Caenorhabditis elegans: one gene and its partner. The protein of the gene in region 1 purifies or fractionates together with the protein of each later gene. This does not show direct contact. Each region holds a gene or a part of one and is shown in the gene's direction. Other genes may lie near its edges. The genes, in order: lys-7 and M116.5.

Region 1 (9,569 bases):
ACAAAAAAAATCAAACAATCACAAAAAAAGAACGAAAATTGACAGTCCTGATTGGGATGGTATTCTGTCTATTGGGAAAATACCCAAAAAAAATGATACTCAGTTTTTTTAATCGGTTTCAAGTCTCGGATTTTTCTCTGCTTTGACAAATTTTTTACTGATAAATCATGTTCTGTTTTTAGATTTTTGCATGGAATTCAATTTCAAAACCAGTAGCCTATTCTTGCTAGAATAACGCTGATTCAGTTTCCCCGGTATGCAAAAAAATTGGATTCCTGAAATTTCTTGCACTGTTTTCAATAAATAAATACTATTTAATTGGTCATGCCATGACAAATAATTCACTGTGTTCAGAGAATAACATATTTTTTCTAACCAGAAAAAAAAACAAAAATCACTATTAACTTGATCTTGAACCTATTTTTCAAGAACCCCAATTCACTTCCTATTGTCAGAAGTCAGAATTTTGCCCCACTAGGAAAATTGTATTTTTAATGTGATTTCCCTAATCAAACGCATTGTTATTCCCATTATCACCTAAGAATTTCAGTTTTCACCATTCCGCATGCCAGTAGACATTCTCTTTAGACCCGTTGTCAGTTCTATAATGGACATCATTATAACAGTTGTTTGCCTTTTGGGAGCAGTGAGCTCACTTGTTACAATTGTTCTGAATGGGAATTTGGTTTGGAAAATTGTTCTGTAAGTTTAAAATTTCATGCTAAATATCATTGCCTTACGGGAAAATTTGTTGGTAAATGCGCGGCCGACAGGAATCAGGCCCCGATTTCCGTCGGCTGCACATTTACGCATTCTTTGTGACGTCACAAACCATACGGTTTTCAGGAAAAAATCTAAACGAAATGACGACTTGCAACTCTTCTACTACCGTTTCACAATGGACATTTGCTTTTCGACTTGCTGTAAGTTTTTATCTCACATAAACCTTTTTTTCAATTTGATCTATTAAGTGCTCGTCTACATTATTTTTGTGATACTTACAATGGAGGTACCCCACTTATTCAGTAATCATCGTGGTCTCATAGTGACCCTGGGCCTTCCATGGTCCAACTTTGCCACGTGTCGGTCTGCAATTGCGCTGGCAATTTCACTCGAGAGACTCATCGCTGCGTATTTTCCAATTAGATACCGAACAGCTAGGAACAAAATTCCGAACTTTTCCATTTTCTCCATGGCTGTTGCATTTGCCCTATCCGAAGAGCTTGTGCTCTTCGGATTTTGCTCCTACAGTTTTGACATTCCTCCAAACTGCCGAGCATTCGGATGCGCAGTGAATCAATGCTTCTATAACTTTTGGACAGCTCACAGAACTGTAAGCTATAAATATTTTCGAGTCCAAATATCTGAATTCCTAAAATTCAGATAATATTTGCCATAATTCTTGTATCCTCTATATTGCTGTCAGTGAAATTGTTTGTGTGGAACAATTCCAAAGGCAAACAGAGCAGCAAGCATCTTTCGAAGGTAGTTTAATTTTTTTTTCGAAATCTGAAATCCAAAAGCTTCCAGACAAACCGACTAGCCCTTCTGAACACCTGCACTGTCTTCATTTTTGACTTTGTCCCATCTTTCTTCGGAACCATGTGGCCTACAGCACCAATGTTCAACTTTGATGTACGTTTTTGAGCAACAATTAATAGAAAAAATTTGTGACATTTTCCAGCTCGTCGGGCCCTACAATGCTGTCTCTAAAATCACTGGGTGTGCAATTGACTCGTTCCTCGTCTCCAGACTTCTGCTGAAAAAAGATCATGGAGTTGCAGCAAGTACTGTAACAACTATACTTCAAAAAGTCTCAAGAAATTCGTCCTTATAATTGTTCGATTTTAATCACTAGCGTTGTGCTCTTTTTTAAATAATTGTCTCATGAAAACCTTATTTGTGCAAACATCGTGACGCAAAAATGCGGCCGAAAATAAAATTTCCATCGACGGCAAATTGTCTCATTCCGGTTTGAACAAGGTAGATCTACAAGAATTGCGGGAATTGAAACACAGACCTCCCAACTGATTTCGCATGGGTAGGAACGTGCTGACGTCACATTTTTCACGCGAAACACTCCGGTATTTTTTGAAAATCACACCTCGATGGGACAGCGTGACACCAAGTGTGAACTCCGACTTTGATCGATGTCGACTGCACCATAACAATTCTCTGAAGAGGAAAAATTCCTGAATTGTCATAATTACGCTGCCAGACTTGTTATTGCCTTTTTGAATGAAAATTAGATTTTGGCTCTGTATCGAAAGCAAAAAAGCAAAAACAATGTTTCTTGGGTGATTCATGTTCTGTTCCAAAAGTGGACCCAGAAAATGGTATGGCTATTGTTTTAAATATTGCAGCGGACCAGAAAATGTCCGCTGCAATATTTAAAACAATAGCCATACCACTTCAAATCACAGAAAACTTAGGAACTAAAAATTTTGGAACGTTTTTTCATTAACCCAAAACTGGCAAACAGAAATCATTAATTTTTCAATTTTAATATTGTATTTACTATGTATGTTTGAAACTAGAATTTTTGGTAGCAATGTTACTAAAATCTACGCGAGTTTAGTCATCATAATTATGTGTACGTTTCCTTTTCAAATTATAGACATGTTTCTGACTGATTTCCTGTTATTTTGGAATCCAATTACCAGGAGTTGGACGCCTTCTGGCAAACCTAATTGAGTATTTCTTAGTTCTCGTTTTATATTAATTTTTATCATAAATTTTTGATTTTTATTCTTTGACTTACATTTCTATGGATATGATAATTTACTTGATATGCTCTCTTGGAGCTGTAAGTGGTTTTATCACTGTCTTATTGAATGCGAGGTTGATTTGGAAAATTGTTTTGTGAGTTTTTAATGACTAGATTTTCGAAAAATGTTAACTTTTTAAGGAAGAAAGCGAATCGAAATGACGACATGCAGTTGTTCTATTATCGATTTTTAACGGACACATGTTTTGGCACTTTTTGTAAGTGTGGAGGTTGTTGAGCTGAAAATTTCCATGAAAATTCTATGATTCATCATTTTAATAGAAATTTTAGAAAAAAAATTCCCGATATTCCAGCGAGAATTTTTTTTCAATTGGATGAAAAATAGCCGGATCTTCAAATTTTTATTTTTCTTTAAAGTTTTTTTGCAGAAATCGAAAAAATGATGTCAAAATTTTTAAATGTTGCTCAATTAATTTCACCAAAAAATAATATTAGGCGCGGAATTCAATTTTGTGAAAAAAAATTATTTAAATGTTTTTTTTTTTTGATAAAACATGTTGCCGAAAGTTTAAGTATATTTGAGAAAAAATAATTTTCTTGCAGAATGGTTTGGGGAATATTCAACTTTTTTTTTTTGAGAAAACATATTGGCGCTAATTTCAAATATTTTGAGTTAAAATTTTGGATGATATTCAAACTTCATGATAAAAAATTTTTAACGCGAAGTTGAAATTTTAGAAAAAAAAAACATGTCAGGAAATTCAAAATGTTGCAAAAAAAGTTTTTGCGGGAAATTCAAACTTTTAATTTAAAAAATTCAATTTTCAGTGTTTTGCAATATTGTGTACACTATTCTGTCAATGAATTTTCCCGAATTTATGGTCAATTACAACAGTTTCATTGTATACTCCGCGCTTCCTTGGTCACATTTTGCAGCCTGCCGATCTGCAATCGCCCTATCAATATCATTCGAAAGGTTCATTGCCGCATATTTTCCAATTTTGTACCGTACAACCAGGAGCAAAATCCCAAACTGGCTTATTTTCCTGCTCGCCATATCTTTCGGGTTTTCCGAGGAGATATGGCTCTTTAAGTTTTGCGACTACAAACTGGATATCCCATCAAACTGTAAAGTATTTGGATGCGCGGTGAACTCTTGTTTCTACAGCTTTTGGACAATTCATAAAAGTGTAAGAAAAATAGTTTAAAATAATTTTTTTTAAGCTTTTCGTTTAAATTCAGATAATATTTTTCTCGATCCTGGTGTTTTCTATACTGATATCTATAAAACTATTTATCTGGAATACTAATGGGCAATCTAGCAATCAAATTTCCAAAGCCAATAGGCTAGCTTTATTAGACACCTTTGTGGTTCTACTATTTGATTTTCTTCCATCATTTTGCGGGACTATGTGGCCTACTGCACCAGTTTTTTCATTTGATGTGGGTTTTTGTGCCGCGGCAGACGTTTCACGGGTTCCGCCGCAACAACCGCAACAAGCTCTACCTCAAAAATAAAACTCCAATTTCCAGGTCGTCGGTCCCTACAACTCAGTACTGAAAATCATCGGATGCGCCATAGAATCAATAGTTGTATCTAGACTTTTGGTGCTTAGGAAAGATGAGAATTCAGTTAGTATTCAGAACGTGGCGGTTAGAAAAGCATCGTCAAGATACTCGAAAACATGAAATAAATACTTTTTTCACAATTAAAACTATCGTATTTATTTTTATTGAAGTTTCACCTCTAAGAGCAATTCGTATAAAATTGTTTGTAAATTCTTCATTTTTTACGGCGAAATAAATTTTGGAAGCCTCAAATTTTTTTATGTTGAGCATTGTGAAACGAGAATTAAAAAAAAAATCAAAAAATCAAGGTGTTTATGAAAATGTGAACCAAGTAAAGTCATCATATTTCCGGTAATCGACACTGTGTTTCATGTGTTTTTCATTTTCAGCAACATAATCACACGAAAGTATGTGAAGAGCAACTGATAAGGAGAGTTTGTTGATGTGGTAATCTTTTCCGAAAAAGCTTAAAATTTGATTTTCAGATAACTACGCCGTTTTGAGCACACTGAAGTAAACAGTATAAATATTGGTTGCTACTCACCTTCTTTCAAAAAATTTGTCTCTTCTTTTTTAATGCATTTCTAGATTTTAATTTAAAACTTTTCAGAATGGCCCACAAATCGATTGTCATTTTCTCAGTACTTGCAGTACTCTGCCATTCGGCATCAGTCAAGGTTCCCCCGATTGTTGACTCATCCCTTCCAGTCAAATTCAGTGAAGTCATTGCGGAGCCTGCTCCAAATGTGCCGTCAAACTTGGCATCTTATGCTTACGCCTTGGATATTTATGTCCAAACCACGCTCAGCCAACTGCAATGCATTAAACAAGCGGGTTATTGTGCAGTTTTCGTTCGGTAAGAGTTGAACGGAGGAGATTTTTCAACTAGTTTTTCGCAGAGAATTTTCATTTTAAGGTGACTTACTGAATTTGTGAACCCAAACGAAATGTGTTAAGTAGTACTTGTAAATAGTCAAGATCTGAGTTCTGGTGGGTTAAACCCTAGGTATCGTTAATTTCCAGTGCATACAACCCAGCAGGACAAGGATCCTTTGACACCAGCTCTTGCGTCACTATTCAAAATGCTTATAAAGCTGGACTCGGAATTGAGATTTATATGACTCCACAGCCCGTTTCAAACAAGCAAGGCTACCAACAGTTGGATGAGATCATCCAGGGATTGACTGCAAGAGCGATCACAGTCAGAGCAATCTGGATTCAGGTCACTTCGCCAACTAACTGGCCAAATAACGCGAATAGCAATATTAACTTCATCAACAGTATTGTCTCCAGAGCCAGAGTGAGTGTTTTGTAGAATTTAGATATTGAGATATTTAAATTAATAAAAAAGTATGCTGGTAGTACGCTTGTTCTATAAATCTACAGCAAAATTATTATAGCAATCCGGATTAACTGTCGGAATCTACACCTCCTACTACGACTGGAATCAGATCACGACCGGATGGAGCAACATTGGAAATGATGTTCTCCTCTGGTATTGGAATGTGTACAGCGGTGGAGTCACTGGAGAAACTCCTGCCAACTTCAATGACTTCCGTAAATTTGGATGCTGGACAGCTCCATCTGTCAAGCAGTTTGCGCAAGATGAGACAGTCTGTGGTATCACTGTCAACAGAGATGTTTATCTAGCTGGAAATGTGCTCAAGGCTGTTGAAGAAGACGGGAAGATTTATGCTGGAGGATTTGTGCAAGGAAGTCTGAAAATTTGATAACTTCTTAAGATTCGTCCTCTAATAAAAAAGGTTTTAAGCAAATAAAACATACATTAAAAACCCGATTTTTAAACAATGCTTGGAACCTATACGGTGGGCGGCAACTGTCGCTCAGCAAATTTTTTTGTAGACAAATTTGGCCAATCGCCAAATTGCCGATTTACCGGAAATTTTGATTCCAATTCCGGCAATGTGCCGGGAAAAATTGTTTGCCGCCCTCCACTGGACCTATATTATTCACAGATTCTACGCATCACAAACCGTTTTTTAATGAAATGTAAAATGTATGTGGAATCTTTGTTTCGGATGTATATTTCTCATACAGCAAATCACCTAAAGAATTTTTTAATTCAACTTTATTTTTAAATCTCAAAGCTTAATCAAATTAATCAAAAACTGGGGCAAAAATATCTTCAACAGTTATCTAATTTTTAATTCTGAAGGTTATTTAAAAACTTTAAAACGTGTTAAAGCTGATTAAATGGAATTCATTTGTGAAAGTGGCAAAAAACCTGAACTCATTGTGAAAAAGAATTAAATCTACTCAGAACAAAAGAGAATTTTCCGAATAGAGTCTGGTGGTCAATCCCGTGATAGTCAACAGGATTCATTTTCAAAATAAAACTCTAAAAGACAAAAATAGTTCTCGTCGGTTGGTCTAAAATTTCAGAATGTCCTTTTCTTTTAATGTCCTAATTTTTCAAAATTTTATAAAACTGTCTAGCTCGCACCTTCTTCGGCGCAGAAAATATTTAGCAAGTTTTTTATTCAGCTCAAACCATCATAGTTACATATCTGCAGTATCTGCAGTTTGATTTCTGAATTTTGTTGCCAATTTTGATGGATTTTTTACAACTTAAACCTCTTTTTTAAGCGTGATAAATTTTTGCAGTAATAAATCAAACAAATTATTTGTTGGCTTTTTGGAAACCGGATGTAAATTTAGCAATACAAGCTAGTTTGTTTTTCAACCCCCGAACATTTTAGCAACCGAATCTTAATTCCTACATCTTTCAGGAACATTTTTCATAATGAAAACAATCGTAGCATTGGTATGCGTCATTGGTATAGTCTGCGCAAATATTGAAGTTTTGCTAAACGCAAATTTAGTTTGGAAAATTGTTTTGTAAGTTTATTACTTCTACATGTTACCTATTAAAAAATTAAGATACTATTTTAGAAAAAAATCACAGCGAAAACGTGAAATGGGATTGTTTTACTATCGCTTTGTACTGGATGTGTGTTTTGGCTTGGCACGTGAGCATAATTCATTTACAATAATTTTTCTTCAAATAAAACCAAACACTATAAACACTGATAATTTGGAGTTCATGAGTGAGCACCGCAATTTGCTAATTTATTTGGGCCTTCCTTGGTCAAATATCGCCTCTTGTCGGTCTATAGTCGCACTTGCAATTGCAGTAGAACGAGCGACTGCAGTATGCGTTCCATTATTATACAGAACTATTACTCTGAAAATCCCGAATTTCTGTATTTTCCTATTTGCTGTGGCATATGGCCTATTTGAAAATGTTGTTCTTTATGGGTTCTGTGGCTTTGATGAAGACTTAATCCCTGCAACGTGTACGCAGTTTGGATGTGCAATTAATAAATGCTTCTACAATTACTTCATGCTCCAGAGAAGTGTAAGTCTGAGGGCAAGCAGCCGACACTTAACGGTTTTGCCATCCGTATACGGATAGACCGGAGTCACGGCAGAGCGACAGAAAATCACTGCTAATCAGCATTTGTGCCACGGCTTAGTCAACCGCAGTAGTTGTGCTTTTCCGCTGATTAGCGGTGGTGTTTTGCTACATAGTTCTGCTTTCTAGCTAGCTAGTTTTGTTTTTGCGAAGAGCCAAACTTTTATAAAACCATAAAAAAATAACACGATTTATTATGAAAATGAAAAAAAAAAACAACAGAAAAAACATTTAACGCAGAATGGAAAAAAACAAAAAAAAAACAAGTTTTGAAAGTATCAGAAAACAGGAGAACTAGTGAATTTCTGGGAAGTCTGGGGGTTTTTCACTTGCCAGCAGATTTTGAAGTTGATGCGGCGTTCGAAGTTGATGGAACTTGCTCCTCATCGATATCCTCGCTGCTCTGGTAGAATTGCTGGCAATCGATGATCGGACGCTTTGGCAGCACAATTTTTGGTGGTATCTGGTCGTCGTGTTTTGTTCGATACAAACCACGGGCATGATCGCTGCAAAAAAGTGTGAAAACATTGTTTTTTCAAGTTAAAAACTTATATTCGCTGGCTTTTTAAAATAAAGAACAATAAACCTACAATCGGACTTTGAGATGATTCCTGAACAGCATATTCACAACACTTGGAAGGAGAGTAATTGAATGAACCTTTGTTTCCCGGCTGGTGATCACCATGATTATTGTCCGTCGGGTCTGAAAGTAGTTATTTAGACACAATAAAAACTTTTAAAAAAATTTTCCTAGCGTAACTGTACTGTCACGCTTTTAACAAGAAGACATCGGGGTGCTGAATTCAAAAATCTTCGAACTGTTGTTCTTGGATTTCTGACCATAATCCTCTTTTTCTAGCCTGGAATGATACAAATCTTCGAAAAACACACTGGACTTAACAATTAACAAATATTGATAACATATCACACAAAAAATACAATAAAAAAGGTAGAGAAAATGAAATATGGGAAATACGACGAAGAAAAACAAAATAAAATCAATAATCAATGTTCTGCAGTGGTTTTTAGCTAATTAGCAGTGGGTTTTAGCTAATTAGCGGTGGTGTGCTAAGTAGCAGTGGTTCTCTGCTGATAATCTATGGTTTTACTAGTTTTTGCTACTTAGCAGTGATTTTCTGTCGCTCAGCCGTGACTCCGGTCTGTCTGAGTATGGGAACATTTAGAGCAGCCGACAATATCTTGGCTGTGTAAAACCAAGATAAATTCTTATTTGTATAAAGCCTGAACATATTTATCTCATCTCACAAGATCCATAAAAATTTCTCGAATTTCAGATTGTATTTTCTATCAACGTTTTTGTATCTATAGTTCTATCCATCAAATTACTATTTTGGAATAAAAAACAGTCACAACAACAACACAAAAACAATAATAAACTTTCAAAAGTAAGGCTAGCGTACTTTTTCCACCAAACTTTTCAAATAATTTTTCAGGCGAATCGTCTCGCATTACTGGACACCTGTACAGTCTTCTTATTCGACTTTATCCCAGTTTTCTGTGGCGGCATGTGGCCTCACATTTTCTCAATTGAAGTACGTAAGACCTCCAGTTTCAGATAGAAATTCGTTCGTTCCAGGTTCTTGGTCCTTTCACAGTTGTAATGAAAATCATTGGATGCGCCATTGAGTCGACTGTCGTCTCGATTCTCTTGAAGTTCGGAAGAATTGAAAAACCGAAAAATCAGAGTTCAATTGCGGTCACACTATCTAAAAATGTCAAATAACGATTTAAATCATCATTGCTTATACATATTTTAAAAAAATCACATCCCTTCTATTTTTTTTTGGTAAATTTAAAGGCAAGAGGACCTCTCTC
Region 2 (14,118 bases), on another chromosome or scaffold:
AACACAGATCCACGTGATAATAACAAGAAAAAGCGAAAAGTAGTGAAAAGCGTTTTGCTGAGCGATTCCCGAAGAAGGCATTACACATGGTGTCCAGCAAGAGGGCCTTTCGAACATTGAGAAGTGGTTGCTATGGAGATTTGAAGGGATACTCATATGAAATGCAAAGAGCAGATGGTCAGGAAAATGAAGAAATGGGGAAAAGAAGAGTCTCCAATCACCGCTAAACACAGGTGATTCGCGTTTGGTCTGTCGCAGATTCGAAGAACAAAAAATCAAGCTGCGTTACCTTTTCAGCTTGTCCTCTGAAAGGATTCCCTTGTCAGAGTGGTTTTTATCGATTTCCAAATGTGTACTTAATGTGTACAGTAGTGTAAAGCGTTTTGCTGAACGTTTTGCTGACCTGTCAGTTCATTTTCAAAAAAACAACAATTTTATTTTATTCATAATTACAGGCCAAGAAAAACAAAACGGATTATATCATCTAAATACAATATTTGTCTCTGGTCGATGTTTGACGTTCCAAATGTTTCCTACAAAATGTTTCCCTATCTGCAATAAAATTTTTTCCATGGGAAATCAAAAACTGAAATTCCACCAACTCATGGCTACAGTATCCTCTAATTCGATTAGAGAGCCCTATATAAAAATGAGCATTCGTTTATCATGTCCACAGTATTCTGATCGAGATGGCGGATGTTTGTATTGGGCAAATGTGTTTGTCTTTGTGCTTCTTCTGTTTTGATGTATTTCGAACTGATACAACCTTTCATTTTAATGGAAAACTGACATGTGGCACTCAAGGAGCTCCGTTTAAAGTCAATTTTTTGAGTGTTTATGAGAGAGATCTTATGTAAGCTTTTAATATTAGTTGAGTATAATTCAATCTATGTATTCTCAGAAAAGACGATTATCTCGGAACAATCCAAAACTTTGAGAAAGACGGAAGCGGATTCAAGTACGCCATCGATGTTAAGGACAATGGAGACGGACCATTCAATGTATGTAGGAACATCTAGGACATCCAAGGAGGCGCTCCATGAGAAAGTGTAACTTGCGCCCGCGTATCGCACCATTTATACTCCGGCTTCCATGGAATGCTTAATGTAAACAAATTCCTACTTTATGATTGTCGCCTGAATACTGAAAACAAAATGCTATTATGCACAAAATTTTTTCGGTAGGCGTCAAGCAGGTTGCGGCAGGAGTATAGGCATAATGTAGGCATACGCGGTATATATGTATGTAGGCTGGAAGGTTCTATGCCGAAACCGAGAAAGACAGAATGAAGATACTTAGGATACATGTAAATTGTCAAGAATGAAGAAGGCATTAGGGCTGGCATCCAAAAAAAAAACCAAAAATTATTTGTCTATGTGAGACATGTAGGCAGATAGTCATGAGGCCTGAACATGTTCGGCATGTTGGAAGGTATAAACCAGAGTTATAAAAATAAATTATATAGGCAATTTTTAGGCAGGTATAAAGGAAAGAGTGCATGTATATGTTTCGCTCCAAGTTATAATTTCAGGAAGTCTATGAAATCTTCTTTGTAATTCAACACGACTGTACTCCAGACCGTCAATTAATTAATCAACGAGTGTCAATGACCGGATTCCAAGTTATGAATGGGTAAGAAGATAGGAATACTTGTTCTGCTTTTATAATATTCACATTTCAGACAATTCTATCACACGCTGGATATCGATTTGCAGAAGAGCAAAAGACGATTGGTTTAAAATTGAACAGAATGTAAATTAAATGAACGTTTCAAGCAAGCATTTAATCATAAAATTATCGATAAAACGGAAAAGTTATTCTTTTAAATTATAAAATATTTCTAACTAGTAATTTAAGAGATACATATATTTTTAATAATGGACTTTACTAATAGTAAGAAGCTTGCTATCAGAATCTTCATAGTAAAGTTCTGGAAAATATACCGTATTTCTTCTATTAATATAGCTGCAATACTATTTTTCGATGGTCTTCCCGCTTGCAATACTAATAGGGAGTGCAAGACTATTAGGGAGTGCAATACTAATTTTCAGAACATTTTCTGACTTTGAGCTTACTAGTTTTTTCCTGAAAAAGCTCGAATCATATATAAAAATTCAGAAAATTTGATTTTCATATAATTTCAAAAACTTCAATCTCGTAGAAATGATGTGAAAACTGTTGCAAAATAGGCAAAAAATGTTGTTGAAATCCTGAAATTAGCGAGACGGGTTTGCAATACAAAAAAGTTAACGCAAGACTATTAGAGAGTGCAAGACTAATAGGGAGTGCAATACTAATTTTCGGAAGGTCTCCGAGGGGCAATACTAATAGGGAGTGCAAGTCTAATAGGGAGGCCATATTAATAGAAGATATACGGTAGCTGGGCAGAAAATATAAACTTACAGTGATAGGAACTGGAAGATCACCAATCATTGCTCACATACCGATTACAATTGTTTTCTTTTTTTTTCACTGTTGTAATTGTGACCTGGGAAATTTAGGACTTTGTAAAATTCATTTTTTGAAATCAAAATTTTCTAATGGTTTACCCCACTTACCAGTACAAAAAAGTAGAGCAGAAGCGGTTCAAATATGGAAAATACGGAACTTATTTGTTGTTGGTTCATTTTATAGATGCAGTTATATTCGCTCTAAACTTTGTTCCAAATATACTAAACTACAGTATCCATTACACGAGCTTGTGGATGAATAGCAATAGATGTATCAAGTATTCCGAGTAAATCTTTTGAAGTTAAAAGCTGTTAGAAATATATTCCAATTTGATCGACTACATCCAATAAATAATATTTGAATTATGAGTGGTGTAGTCAAAACATCAATCAATGCTGTCCATATTATAAAATCAGTTACTCGGAAAATACCTGATCTACTATATAAAACATAACATATAACAAAAGGTATTATAATCTGAAAAACAAAAAAAATGATTTTTTTCGATTTTTGCGTAAGGACTAACCGTTTTTGCAAGCAATGTAACAACAGCCTGCAATAAAATATATTTTTGTAAATATAATTGTTGCTCATTTTGTGATTGACCATTAGTCCGGAAACTTAATAAAATTGGTAAATACAAAATAGGTGATATTATCAAAAATACAAAATTCAATAAGACGAATAATATCTGAACAAGAATAAATTAATAATGCAATTAATCAGTTGTAAACTCGCCTCGTATATAATAATGATTGTATTGAGTGCATGATGGGAAGAAGTATAGGAGCAAATTTTTTAAGGATACAAGAAATATGAACGTATGAAATATTTCTACAAAAACTATAAGTATAAATCCAATTAGAACAAACCAGAAAAATGCAAAAATGTAAAGGAAACCGCTGGAAAGATGAGAATTAAACGAGGAGCATACTGTTATTTCAGCACGATTGTTCCGTTTACCATTGAAATCACGGCTGGGAAATTTTTGGTTTTTTTTGTTTTTTGTTTTTTGGTTTTTTTGGTATTTTGACGAAAAATCGATTTTTTGGTTTTTTTGGTTTTTGGGACCAAAAAACCAAAAAATAAAATAAAAAAGTTTGCCGTTCCTAGTTTCGACTCGAGACTATTCTTTATTAAAATACATTAAAACATGTATTTTAAGACAGTTGTGACGTCAGAAATGTATTTTGATACATTTTGAAACATTACTGAATAACCCGATTAAAAATCAACTGAAGCATAAAAAATTTTTTGGTTTTTTTTTTTGGTTTTTTTGGTTTTTCGAAAACTTCAATTTTTTTTTTCTTTTTTGGTCCAAAATTTCTTTTTTGGTCCCAGCCCTGATTGAAATGCCACAGAGCCGAGCGCCGTTTTCAGATTTATTTTTATTATAATTTTCATTGTATATTTTTTTGTGATAAGAACTAAAAAAAACAGCCTCAAACTTTCAAACGGTGCCCGGAACGATCGTTCTGGCCCGAAAATATTCCGGAAACATACAATGAACTTGGTTTATAGTAACGAATCAACCTTACTCCAAGCATAATTATTATAATGCATATAATTAAAAAAATGAATAAAAATAGGATCTTATAGTCATGTCATAGAGATGATGAACAATCTTTGGGAAAACCTGAAAAATCAGATAGTCCGGTTACAAATTTCCATCCTTTTCCAAAACATCTAAAGTACTGTCGCATATTCAAATTGTTATAATGTTTACAAAAAAGATGAATATTTTAAACATACAGTTTTTTCTGACATACAATACTTAGTGTCAGACAATAATTAGATGAATTAGAGAGTGCAAAATATCCATATTAATTTTCGAGCAAGTTTTATCTGTTTCTTCCATTGAGTAATGACACCATTTCATCAGTTTCAATATTACGGGGACCATAAATTCTGAGAATTGCACAACATATTTGACAGAATAGCGAAGACTACAGTAACTCTTTAAATAAAAGTTTAAACAAAAGTAAAAGTTTTTCTAATACTATTAGGTCCAATTAAGAAATTTAAGAGTATTCAATTGAACTTCAGCAGTGAACAAGAGTGTTCGTACACCGATAGGTTCAGGCAGCCTGGCAGGCATGAATTATTACGTAGTTCGCCTCAAACAAAGGCAAGACCTACATTTCTTGGACCTTTCGGAACTACATGAAATTTTTAAACTTTATGATAAATTTTAACTTTTGCAATAAATTTAACTGTTTTCTGACGACGATTAACTTTGTGGACATAAATATAAAATGGAAATACTAGAAAATGACTGAAGATGACAAATAAGAAACTTAGTTTTGAAATTTTTGCATTGATTATTTTGAGAAGTCCGTCGTCATCCAAAAACTGCGTATTATTCATAATTGCTGTAGAACATATAAATTCCAAACTACTCAGCTGAAGGCTAAAGGTATGAAGGTGGAAATAGTTTTATCACCTGTTACATGCCGGAGAATTGACTAAAAATATTTTCTCAGCCAAAATTATTGTTTTCTTCTTAGAAATTCATTATGCCTCAGACTTGATTTTTTGATATCGAAATTCTGCCAAAGAAATTCAACTGGGTTTTCAATATTTCTGGCATTTTATTTGTTTTACCACTGAGCTTCAGTGTTCCATTTGTAGATTTTTCAGTTTTCCGTGAGAATTTAGTCAAAATGCGCAGAAAAACTTATTGAAAGCTGAAGTCTATTTATCATTTTAATTGTTGACAAGGGTTACGGTAAGCGACCGCAAGTCCGCAAGCATCGTCACGTCACAGTGCACAGATAAATTTGTTTTTGAATAAGAATGTTTGTTGCTCTCGTCTTTTTTCTTGTGATTTGTATTCATCTCTCTAGGTTTTTTTCGAACATTTTCTACCACTTTCTTACGAAATTGTTTAAAATATAGCTTCATGCTCACAAATTACTAGTTTTCACTAGAATCCGATTTTGGGTGTATTTTTTCCGATATCTAAATATTTCCATACAAAAAATCGAATCTCCTGGCTCATGTTCAACGATTTTCGAATTTTTGATGCTGTCCGCGCTTTCTGTCTCTCCCTAACAAACGGTATCAGAGTTATTTTTGTCAGAAACGATTTATACTGATTTACTCGGAATAGATTCGCTTCAAAAACACGACCCTTTATGGAAGTAAGTGTGATACCAATTTTCTGAGTAAAAAATAAAAATTTTTGGAAAGCAGAAGCATTTTTTAATCAAAAGAAACGTTTCCAAAAATTTTATTGTAGTAAGTAGCTTGGATTGCTCTAGCGAAAATTTAAAGTTTCAAGTTTTCTCTATATTGTGCTCTCATTTTCATATTCTATCTCAAACTCTACATTTCTTCTTCAAAATGTTATTTTCAGAGTATATAATCATCTCAAGCGTTTCTCAATTGTTATTCACATGAATAAAAGAAATGGTTGGAGAAAAGAATCGTAGTCAACACAAAATCGATCCTTCTGATGCTCAGGAGAAAGATATTTTGGATCATTATGAGCTGAATAGGGGAAAATTTAATGGTAAGCGTAACGTTTCCTGAAAACTAAATCTTCAATATTTTGCAGATGTCCGGGACACAATGCAGAAAAAGACGTTTACAAAATGGGTTAACAAACACTTGACCAAGGTGATTTTTAATTTTGAAAAAATGCTCGAGAATTTATGAAAAACCAAAAAAAAAAGGTGAAAATGCTTGAAAAATGCGAAGTTTCGCGGTTTACAGAAATTTCAATTATTTTTACACTGAAAACATTTCAAACACATGAATAAAAATCAGTTTGGAAATTTGTTTTTTCTCGAATGAATTTTTGTATTGAATTGTTGAAATTCGGATTTTAAAAATATAGACTTTTGCTAAAATAAACCAGATTTAGCCTGAAATCGACAAATAGACAACGAAAACATTATAAAATTTAGCTTACATCTTGCCATTTTTATGTCAATTTTTTCAGACGGATCACACAATCGTCGATTTGTTTGTCGATTTACGGGACGGGTTTGCACTGATCGCGTTGTTGGAAGCTCTTACTGGCGAACGAATTGTGAGTTTTCGATTTTTTTAAAGATTATTCGCCTGAAATGCTTGTTTTTACTGAAAAATTAGTGTTGTGTTATTTTACAGCAAAGAGAGAACGGCTACACGCGATTCCATCGGATTCAGAATGTACAGTACTGTCTAGACTTTTTGAAGATGAAAAATGTAAGTTTTCTGGAAAGACAGGCTGAAAAAAAGACGAATATTGTAATTTTGGTTTCACGAAAAAACTTTTAAAATTTATTTTAGCTGAGTTTTCTTTAACAGTTAAAAAAACGAAGGAAAATTTATTGGAAGTTTTTCAGATCAAACTAGTGAACATTAGGCCGGAGGACATTGTGGAGGGAAATGGAAAACTGACACTCGGACTCATTTGGACAATTATTCTCAACTTCCAGGTTTCAGTGATTCGTCAACGTCTTCTTTTGGAATCTTCACAACATGAACAAACGAATGAAAAACACACAACCAACTCACAGGTGTTTTCCTTTTTTTTAATTAATGTATTTAACAAGTTCGAAATGGGTTTGGAGGGGGTTAGAGCTGAAAATTCACTAAAAAATTGAAAAGTTTCCGATATCTACGAAACGCGCATGCGGAAAACGTAGTTCAAACTATCCGTTTCTGGCAAAATTTGCTTTAAAAATTGGAAGTTTATAGGAAAAGTTCTTACTTCACCAAGAATTTAGAGATTTTCTGAAATTTGCCGAAAGATTCGTATTTTTTTTGTTTGAAGTTTATCAAGAATTAGGATTTCTCGATTTTTTAGTTTAGTAGTTCATGCCGAGAGATTTTCTGAGTTATGCTGGATATTTTCGAAAAATACAACCCAATTCGACATGCTAATCTTACTTAAATATTGACGAAACAATCTAATTTGTTTTTTTCAGGACTCCATTCATAGAAGTGAAACGACATCGGCGCGCGATGCATTGCTTCAATGGGCCAAACGGGTATGAAATACAATATTTTCATAGTGGGCTCCAAGAGCTCGAGAGCTGGAAAACATGGAAAAAAAAACATTAGTTTGTTCTTACAAGCTGGTTAATTATTTGAAAATTTTCATGTTACTGTATTAAAGATGATGATACAAAATTTTGGTAAAATTTAGGATTAGATCTAACTTGGGTTTTCTTTTCGAAATTTGGAACATTGAACATTTTCCGTAGAAGTATCATAAATACAAAAGTGACGTTCCGCTTTCAGACACAGTTTGAATTTGTATAAAAATCTATAATAAACTATTTTTAAATGTCATCAGAGTACTGTAAATAGTAAGTTAATTTAGTGCCTGAATATTTTCCTTTTCAGACGACTGCTGAATATCCACGTGGGAATGTGATTAACTTCTCGAATTCATGGCGTGATGGACTCGCCTTCAATGCAATTATTCATCGTTATAGAAGCAGTGCTATCGATTGGAATAAGGTATTTTACATTTGTTGCGAAATCAGTTCTAGCGCTTTTTTAGAAATATGTACAATTGTTTTTCGTCAAATTTGTACTTTCTGAAAGCACACAATCGCTGGACACAAGCTATAGATTGTGTTTCTATTTAATTATAATCTTGATTTACAGATCAATTCGGATTCAGTTTCCAACACGGAACGATTGAACATTGCTTTCGCAGCAGCGGACCGCGAATTCGGAGTCGAACGTCTTCTTGATGCTGAAGATGTCGACACAAACAATCCGGATGAGAAATCGATCATCACATACGTTTCATCGCTTTACAATGCTCTTCCACAGGAGCCAGAGATGAGCAAAGTGAGCATTTGGTTTATAGCCCTTAAAATCGAATTTTCAAGTTTTCAGTTCGCCGCCAGTGGTGGAAAGCGCCTCGAAGAAGAGATTGGCAAGCTTCAAGCGGATGCTGATCACATTTTCGAAGCTCTCGCAGTAATATCCAAGGATGAAGCTCTCCAAGAAAGCCCGTCATTGCTTCTGGTTTCAAAACAAGTTTCCAAAAAGATTGAACAATTGAAAGTATTGTTGAAGCTAGTTGAAGAAAAAAAGGATACATTTATTTCGAAGTGTAAGCTCGTGATGAGGACGGCTGGGCCTGAATCTGATGCGAAAGAACTGGATTCTTTGATGAAACATGTTGAAGACGCGTATTCAGATGTTTTCGAATTGATTTCTGATAAAGAAGGACTAATTGATCGATGCAATGCTTCTAATGTTAGTCGTTAGACTGAAAAATATATTTAATTCATTAGAGCCCCATCATTGCCTCTTTAAACTAAATATTCGTGTGTCACACACGGTTTGTTGTTTCACAGAGAGTTGCGAGAAGCAATCCAGTATCCAATGGTTTACAGATAAATTCGGACTCAGTTCCCAACACTGAAAGCCTGAACCTCGCTTTCGCCGCAGCGGACCCCGAATTTGGAGCCGGACGTCTTCTTGACGCCGAAGATGTCGACACAAACAACAATCCGGATGAAAAGCCGGTCATCACATATGTTTCGTCGCTTAAGAATGCTCCACAGGACCCAGAGATGAGCAGAGTGAGCATTTGGTTTATAACCCTCGAATTCGAAATAAATCCACACGAAAAAGCTAAAAACATGCTAATGTTCAAATTTTCAGTTGGCCGCCAGTGGTGGAAAAGGCTTCGAAGAAGAGATTGGCAAGCTTCAAGCAGATGCTGATCACATTTTCGAGGCTCTCGCAGTAATGTCTAAAGATGAAGCTCTCCAAGAAAGCCCGTCATTGCTTCTGTATTCCAAACAAATTCGATTCAACAAAATTCAAAAATTGAAAGAGTTGTTAAAGCCAGTTGAAGAAAAAAAGGATACATTTATTTCGGAGTGCAAGCTCGTGATGAAGACGGCTGGACCTGAAGCAGATACGAAAGAACTGGATTCTTTGTTGAAACAAGTCGAAGACGCGTATTCAGATGTTTTCGAATTGATTTCTGATAAAGAAGGACTAATTGATCGATGCAATGCTTCTAATGTTAGTTGTTAGGCTGAAAAATATATATTTCATAAGTTTGAGTCCCATCGGGACTGATAAGAGCCTTTTAAACCTAGGCAGAGACTAGAGATTATGTTTCTATTTAATTATAATCTTGATTTACAGATTAATTCGGATTCAGTTTCCAACACGGAACGATTGAACATCGCATTAGCCGCAGCGGACGCCGAATTTGGAGCCGGACGTCTTCTTGATGCTGAAGATGTCGACACAAACAATAATCCGGATGAGAAGTCAATCATCACATACGTTTCGTCGCTCAATAATGCTTTTCCACTGGAGCCAGAGATGAGCAAAGTGAGCATTTGTTTTATAACCCTCAATTTCAAAAGAACACATTAAAAGCTAAAAACATGCAAATGTTCAAGTTTTCAGTATGTCGCCAGTGGTGGTAAGCGTCTCGAAGAAGAGATTGGCAAGCTTCAAGCGGATGCTGATCACATTTTCAAGGCTCTCGAAGAAATATCCAAGGATGAAGCTCTCCAAGAAAGCCCGTCATTGCTTCTGGATTCAAAACAAGTTTCCAAAAAGATTGAACAATTGAAAGTATTGTTGAAGCCAGTTGAAGAAAAGAAGGATACATTTATTTCGGAGAGTAAGCTCGTGATGAAGACGGTTGGGCCTGAATCTGATGCGAAAGAACTGGATTCTTTGATGAAACATGTTGAAGACGCGTATTCAGATGTTGTTGAATTGATTTCTGATAAAGAAGGACTAATTGATCGATGCAATGCTTCTAATGTTAGTCGTCTGAAAATACCATACGTTTGACTGAAAAATTGAATTTTCCAGAGAATCGCGCATCCACAAACAGAGACTGAGAAGATAACGAACGAGATCGAGCTGCTAAAAGAGACGTGCAGCTGCTGTACTCCATATCAAATTGAGAAGATTTCCGAGAATTATTATAGGGTACGGTAGTTGACATCTAATGGGGGTTACTGTAGTATTTATGTTTCGGGAAAAAAACACATTTGTTGGTTATTTTTGCAGCGTTCAAAAAGCAATTTCCGAGGTTATTATTTTTCGAAAAAACAATCGAAAAAACAATGTTTTTTTTTTTCAAAAATTCGAATAATTAAAAATTTTATGACAGCCCAAAATTTCAAAAAAAAAATTTTACTGAAATCTCAAAGTTTGTCATCTTTTTCATGTCTTTCCATGGGTCGTAAATTATTTTTTGTTTGAAATGTTTTAGCTAAAATTAGCCCTTTTCTCGAAATTTTGAGACATTTTTGAAACGTCCCAGTATGAAATTATGTTTCTTATTCTGCTGAATTTAAGTCTATACAAGCGAAAACACAAAACCATTCGTCCTATTTTAAAATTATTTCAGTTTGGAGATACCCATATCAAGAGAATGGTTCGTATCCTTCGATCAACTGTGATGGTTCGTGTTGGCGGTGGATGGGAGCCACTTGAAGAGTCACTTCAAAAACATGATCCATGCCGTACAAAAGGACGTCTCAATATCAATATGTTCCCAGAAGCTCGTCCAATTCATGCTCTTGACTTGATGCAATCGTTCACTAAGAATCGGCATGCCAAACAGATGCCCATTGCCGGAACGCCTGGACCAATTATGAAGATTCGCGAAAAAACTGAGAGAAGTGTTCCCATGAGCGGAGGACTCGGAGGAACCGCTGGTTACACAGTTACAACTGAATCGCCTAGGTAATTTATTATCATTTTAAATTATTTTGGGTTTATTCTGTTTTACTTTGCAATGTAGTAAGAATATGCATAAAAGTTACTATAAAGTTCCATTGAAAAATGCATTTTAAAAAATCTAAGAAAATACCTCAAAATTAGACTTTTTTAAATTTATTTTTCTGAAAAGCAAAAGATTTCCCGGTTTCGAAACGACAACTATAATAAAAATCGATGTGCGCCTTTGAATAGTACAGTAATCTCAAACTGTGGTATTTTTTTATTGTTTTTCGTTAAAAACTTATTTATTTATTTATTTATTTAAAAAATTAAAATCAAAGAAATTTCAAGAAATTGTGAGAAATTCTATGAAAATTCCGCAGTAGCGAGAGTTTCAAATTACAGTACTCTTTAAAGGCGCATACTCGTTTCAAACGAGTCGTTTGTATTTAACAAAAAAAAAAGTCGTGTCGGGACCGGGTACCGTATCTTTTTAGCAAAAATAACGAAATTTCGATACGACTGTTTTTGCACTCTTCTTCCATATTTTTAGTATCTTTAAGCTGAAAACATAAAAATTAATCTGAAAAATTGCAGAAAAACGCCTCAGCGCCCGTTTCGAATTCCACGTACTCCATCGGACAAGACCCCTGGACGCCAAAGCCGTGTTGGATGTGTCTCCAATTTGAAAAACTCGATCGTCGAACCGTCGTCACCTTCCCAATCCGAATCGCGAGCCTCACCTGAAGTCGCAGACCGTCAGAAGAGGATTTCATTGTCGTTGAAAGAAAAAGGAAAAAGGTTTTTAAAAAATGCAGAACGAGCCAAATAGATTTTTTCATGCCAGAAAGCTGGAAACTTCCATTTTTACTACCGAAATCAAATTAAAAATTAAGCATTTTGGTGGAGATACTAGGAATTTCTTTTGAAATTATCGAAAAATTGGATATTTAACTGCTGTTTCTGTGCTCCGACTTTTTCATAGAAGTGTTTGAGATTTCAATTATAATTGTTTTTTTTTTCGGCCAAAACTATTCGAGTTGGCAGTTATTAATTTTGTCAGGCTCTAAGCTTTAACTTGTAAAAAATCATTTAAAAAATTCAAGTAAAATTAGAATTTCAGATATTCTCCACAAGTGGGGCCGTCTTCTTCGACTCCGAAATGATGAAATCCATACGACAAAATTGTATTTTTTATTGTTATTTTTCTTTTGAATTGTTGTTTGTTTTCTTTTCATCTAGTGTTCCCATTTTCAATATATTTTCTCCTAAAAGTCAAGTTTCGGGCAGTCTACAGTTGTGCTCCTTTACCACATAATCTTGGGTTACTGTAGTTGGAATCACTTGGCTATTACTTCTCCTCTTCAAGTTGTTTTTTTCTAGACACCGGTACTCCCCTCTTCCGGTCTCGTTTATGTGAATATCATTCCGGATTATTTGTTTATTGATGATGTCTTTTGTTTTAATTTTAACAACTAAAAATCATATTCCAATTTCCTAAGACTAGAGGTGTCGATGGGTCTTTTTTTTTTTTGTGTTACAATCTTTTTTTTTTATTCAGATGTTGAAACGGGGGAAATAATTTATCTGTATTGTTAGATTAAGAATCAACCTGGGCCGCAAGACTACTCAAAGAAATATGACATGTTTTGAGGGACTTTAGTGTTGATAATTTTTTTTTAGTGTAAAACTCGAAGTCTTGTGACATTGAAGAAATCATTAAAGTACCTACAAAATTGAATTAAATTTCCGAACTATGACTCTGTGACTTCAGTTTATTTGAGAAATAGAAAAAAGTGATATTCTGCCAAGCAGCCTCTAATAAATGCCGAGTGTACAGACTCCGCCCCTTTTTCGCGTTTTTCGGGTTTTTTTTGGCTTGCGAAAAAATGTCCCACTTCGTTTTCATTCACAACTCCTGAACCGTGTGACTTCATGCTCTAATATTTGAAATCCTACTAGAAATATTTTGCCCCACGGTGGAGCAGAAAACGGCACTAAGTTCGGAGCAAAATTGAGCCCAGGGCGGCTTTCCCCAGTTTGAAAAAAAACATTTTTGCTCTTTTTACCCCCAAAAAACCATGTTTTAATTGAATTAAAATTCGGGTTTTGCTCGGTTTCATTTCAAATTCATGTGCAAGATACTACTCAGAGAGACTGATTTTTTGAAAAAAAGTTTGAGTTCATAAGTGCAAACGAAAAAAGTTGTGATAAAACAAAAGGCCAAAAAATGCCATTTTGCCAAAAAACATTTTTTTGCGAAAAAGTAGTTTTTCGTCTTTATCTCAAGTTCTACTTCATCTTTTTTGATATTTTTTTTGCTTACCCCACGTAAAAAAACACGCTGAACACGATTTTTAACTCAGAATTAAGAAAAGTTCTATGAGTCGGCCGAGCAAGACGAATAAGTGCCAAATTTTGCACACTTTTCCATTTTCGTGAATCTACTTTTTCAATCATAACTCGGTCAGTTTTCAAGTTTTCTTAGTTTTCTAAAAATTGACGTGTAGGTGTCTCATCAAGACGCATCGAGACATATAAAATTTGTAAAAAGTTCAGTGGGAAAATTTTTCAAGAAAAAATAATTCAAAAATTTAGTACTGGGGGGAGTGGTTTCCTGCGTCTCCTGAACATTTTATCCACTAATGTTTTGCGGAATGTATTTTTAATTCATAGTTTTTGATTTTATCTAATGGAAGATGAAGTTTCGTCGCATTAGCAATGCTCTGCCAAGAGATATTATTTTTTTTAATTTTCAGGCCAAAACTTGTTTTTTTTCTATACATCTGTCTGTGTACAAGATATAGCCCTCAACTGTACGTCTCCCTTTCGGGAATTTTATGATGAGTACAATGCTGTAATAAAATTTTCAAAAATTAGGTTTCTCGCTGACTTATCAGTGATAAACGGTTTTCGAACGTCTTTCCCCAAATAGTCATAATTGAAGAAATCGGAATCGAAAGACGACTCCCTCCAGAAATTTACCTTCCTTACTTCCAGTTTGAG

Evidence for each region.
Region 2: the proteins of lys-7 (region 1) and M116.5 fractionate together in Caenorhabditis elegans (co-fractionation; one large-scale study listed by BioGRID). This does not show direct contact.

Annotation. Positions count from the first base shown.
Region 1 is NC_003283.11:3,477,939-3,487,507, reverse strand, and holds lys-7 (Lysozyme-like protein 7), read left to right. Parts: upstream 1-4,907; 5' UTR 4,908-4,908; coding exon 4,909-5,153; intron 5,154-5,320; coding exon 5,321-5,597; intron 5,598-5,697; coding exon 5,698-6,027; 3' UTR 6,028-6,076; downstream 6,077-9,569. Other genes in the region: srbc-32 (Serpentine Receptor, class BC (Class B-like)), read left to right, coding at 608-702, 847-923, 972-1,333, 1,384-1,485, 1,531-1,635, 1,685-1,837; srbc-33 (Serpentine Receptor, class BC (Class B-like)), read left to right, coding at 2,768-2,862, 2,909-2,985, 3,557-3,918, 3,971-4,171, 4,262-4,417; srbc-30 (Serpentine Receptor, class BC (Class B-like)), read left to right, coding at 7,062-7,156, 7,211-7,676, 9,029-9,139, 9,188-9,286, 9,331-9,477.
Region 2 is NC_003282.8:8,412,753-8,426,870, reverse strand, and holds M116.5 (Calponin homology domain-containing protein), read left to right. Parts: upstream 1-5,809; 5' UTR 5,810-5,862; coding exon 5,863-5,965; intron 5,966-6,010; coding exon 6,011-6,072; intron 6,073-6,397; coding exon 6,398-6,487; intron 6,488-6,567; coding exon 6,568-6,645; intron 6,646-6,785; coding exon 6,786-6,959; intron 6,960-7,370; coding exon 7,371-7,433; intron 7,434-7,791; coding exon 7,792-7,908; intron 7,909-8,058; coding exon 8,059-8,247; intron 8,248-8,295; coding exon 8,296-8,661; intron 8,662-8,801; coding exon 8,802-8,990; intron 8,991-9,072; coding exon 9,073-9,441; intron 9,442-9,567; coding exon 9,568-9,759; intron 9,760-9,837; coding exon 9,838-10,203; intron 10,204-10,254; coding exon 10,255-10,374; intron 10,375-10,798; coding exon 10,799-11,136; intron 11,137-11,709; coding exon 11,710-11,913; intron 11,914-12,235; coding exon 12,236-12,278; 3' UTR 12,279-12,606; downstream 12,607-14,118. Other genes in the region: T26A8.3 (Transthyretin-like family protein), read left to right, coding at 690-853, 902-1,001, 1,532-1,632, 1,682-1,739.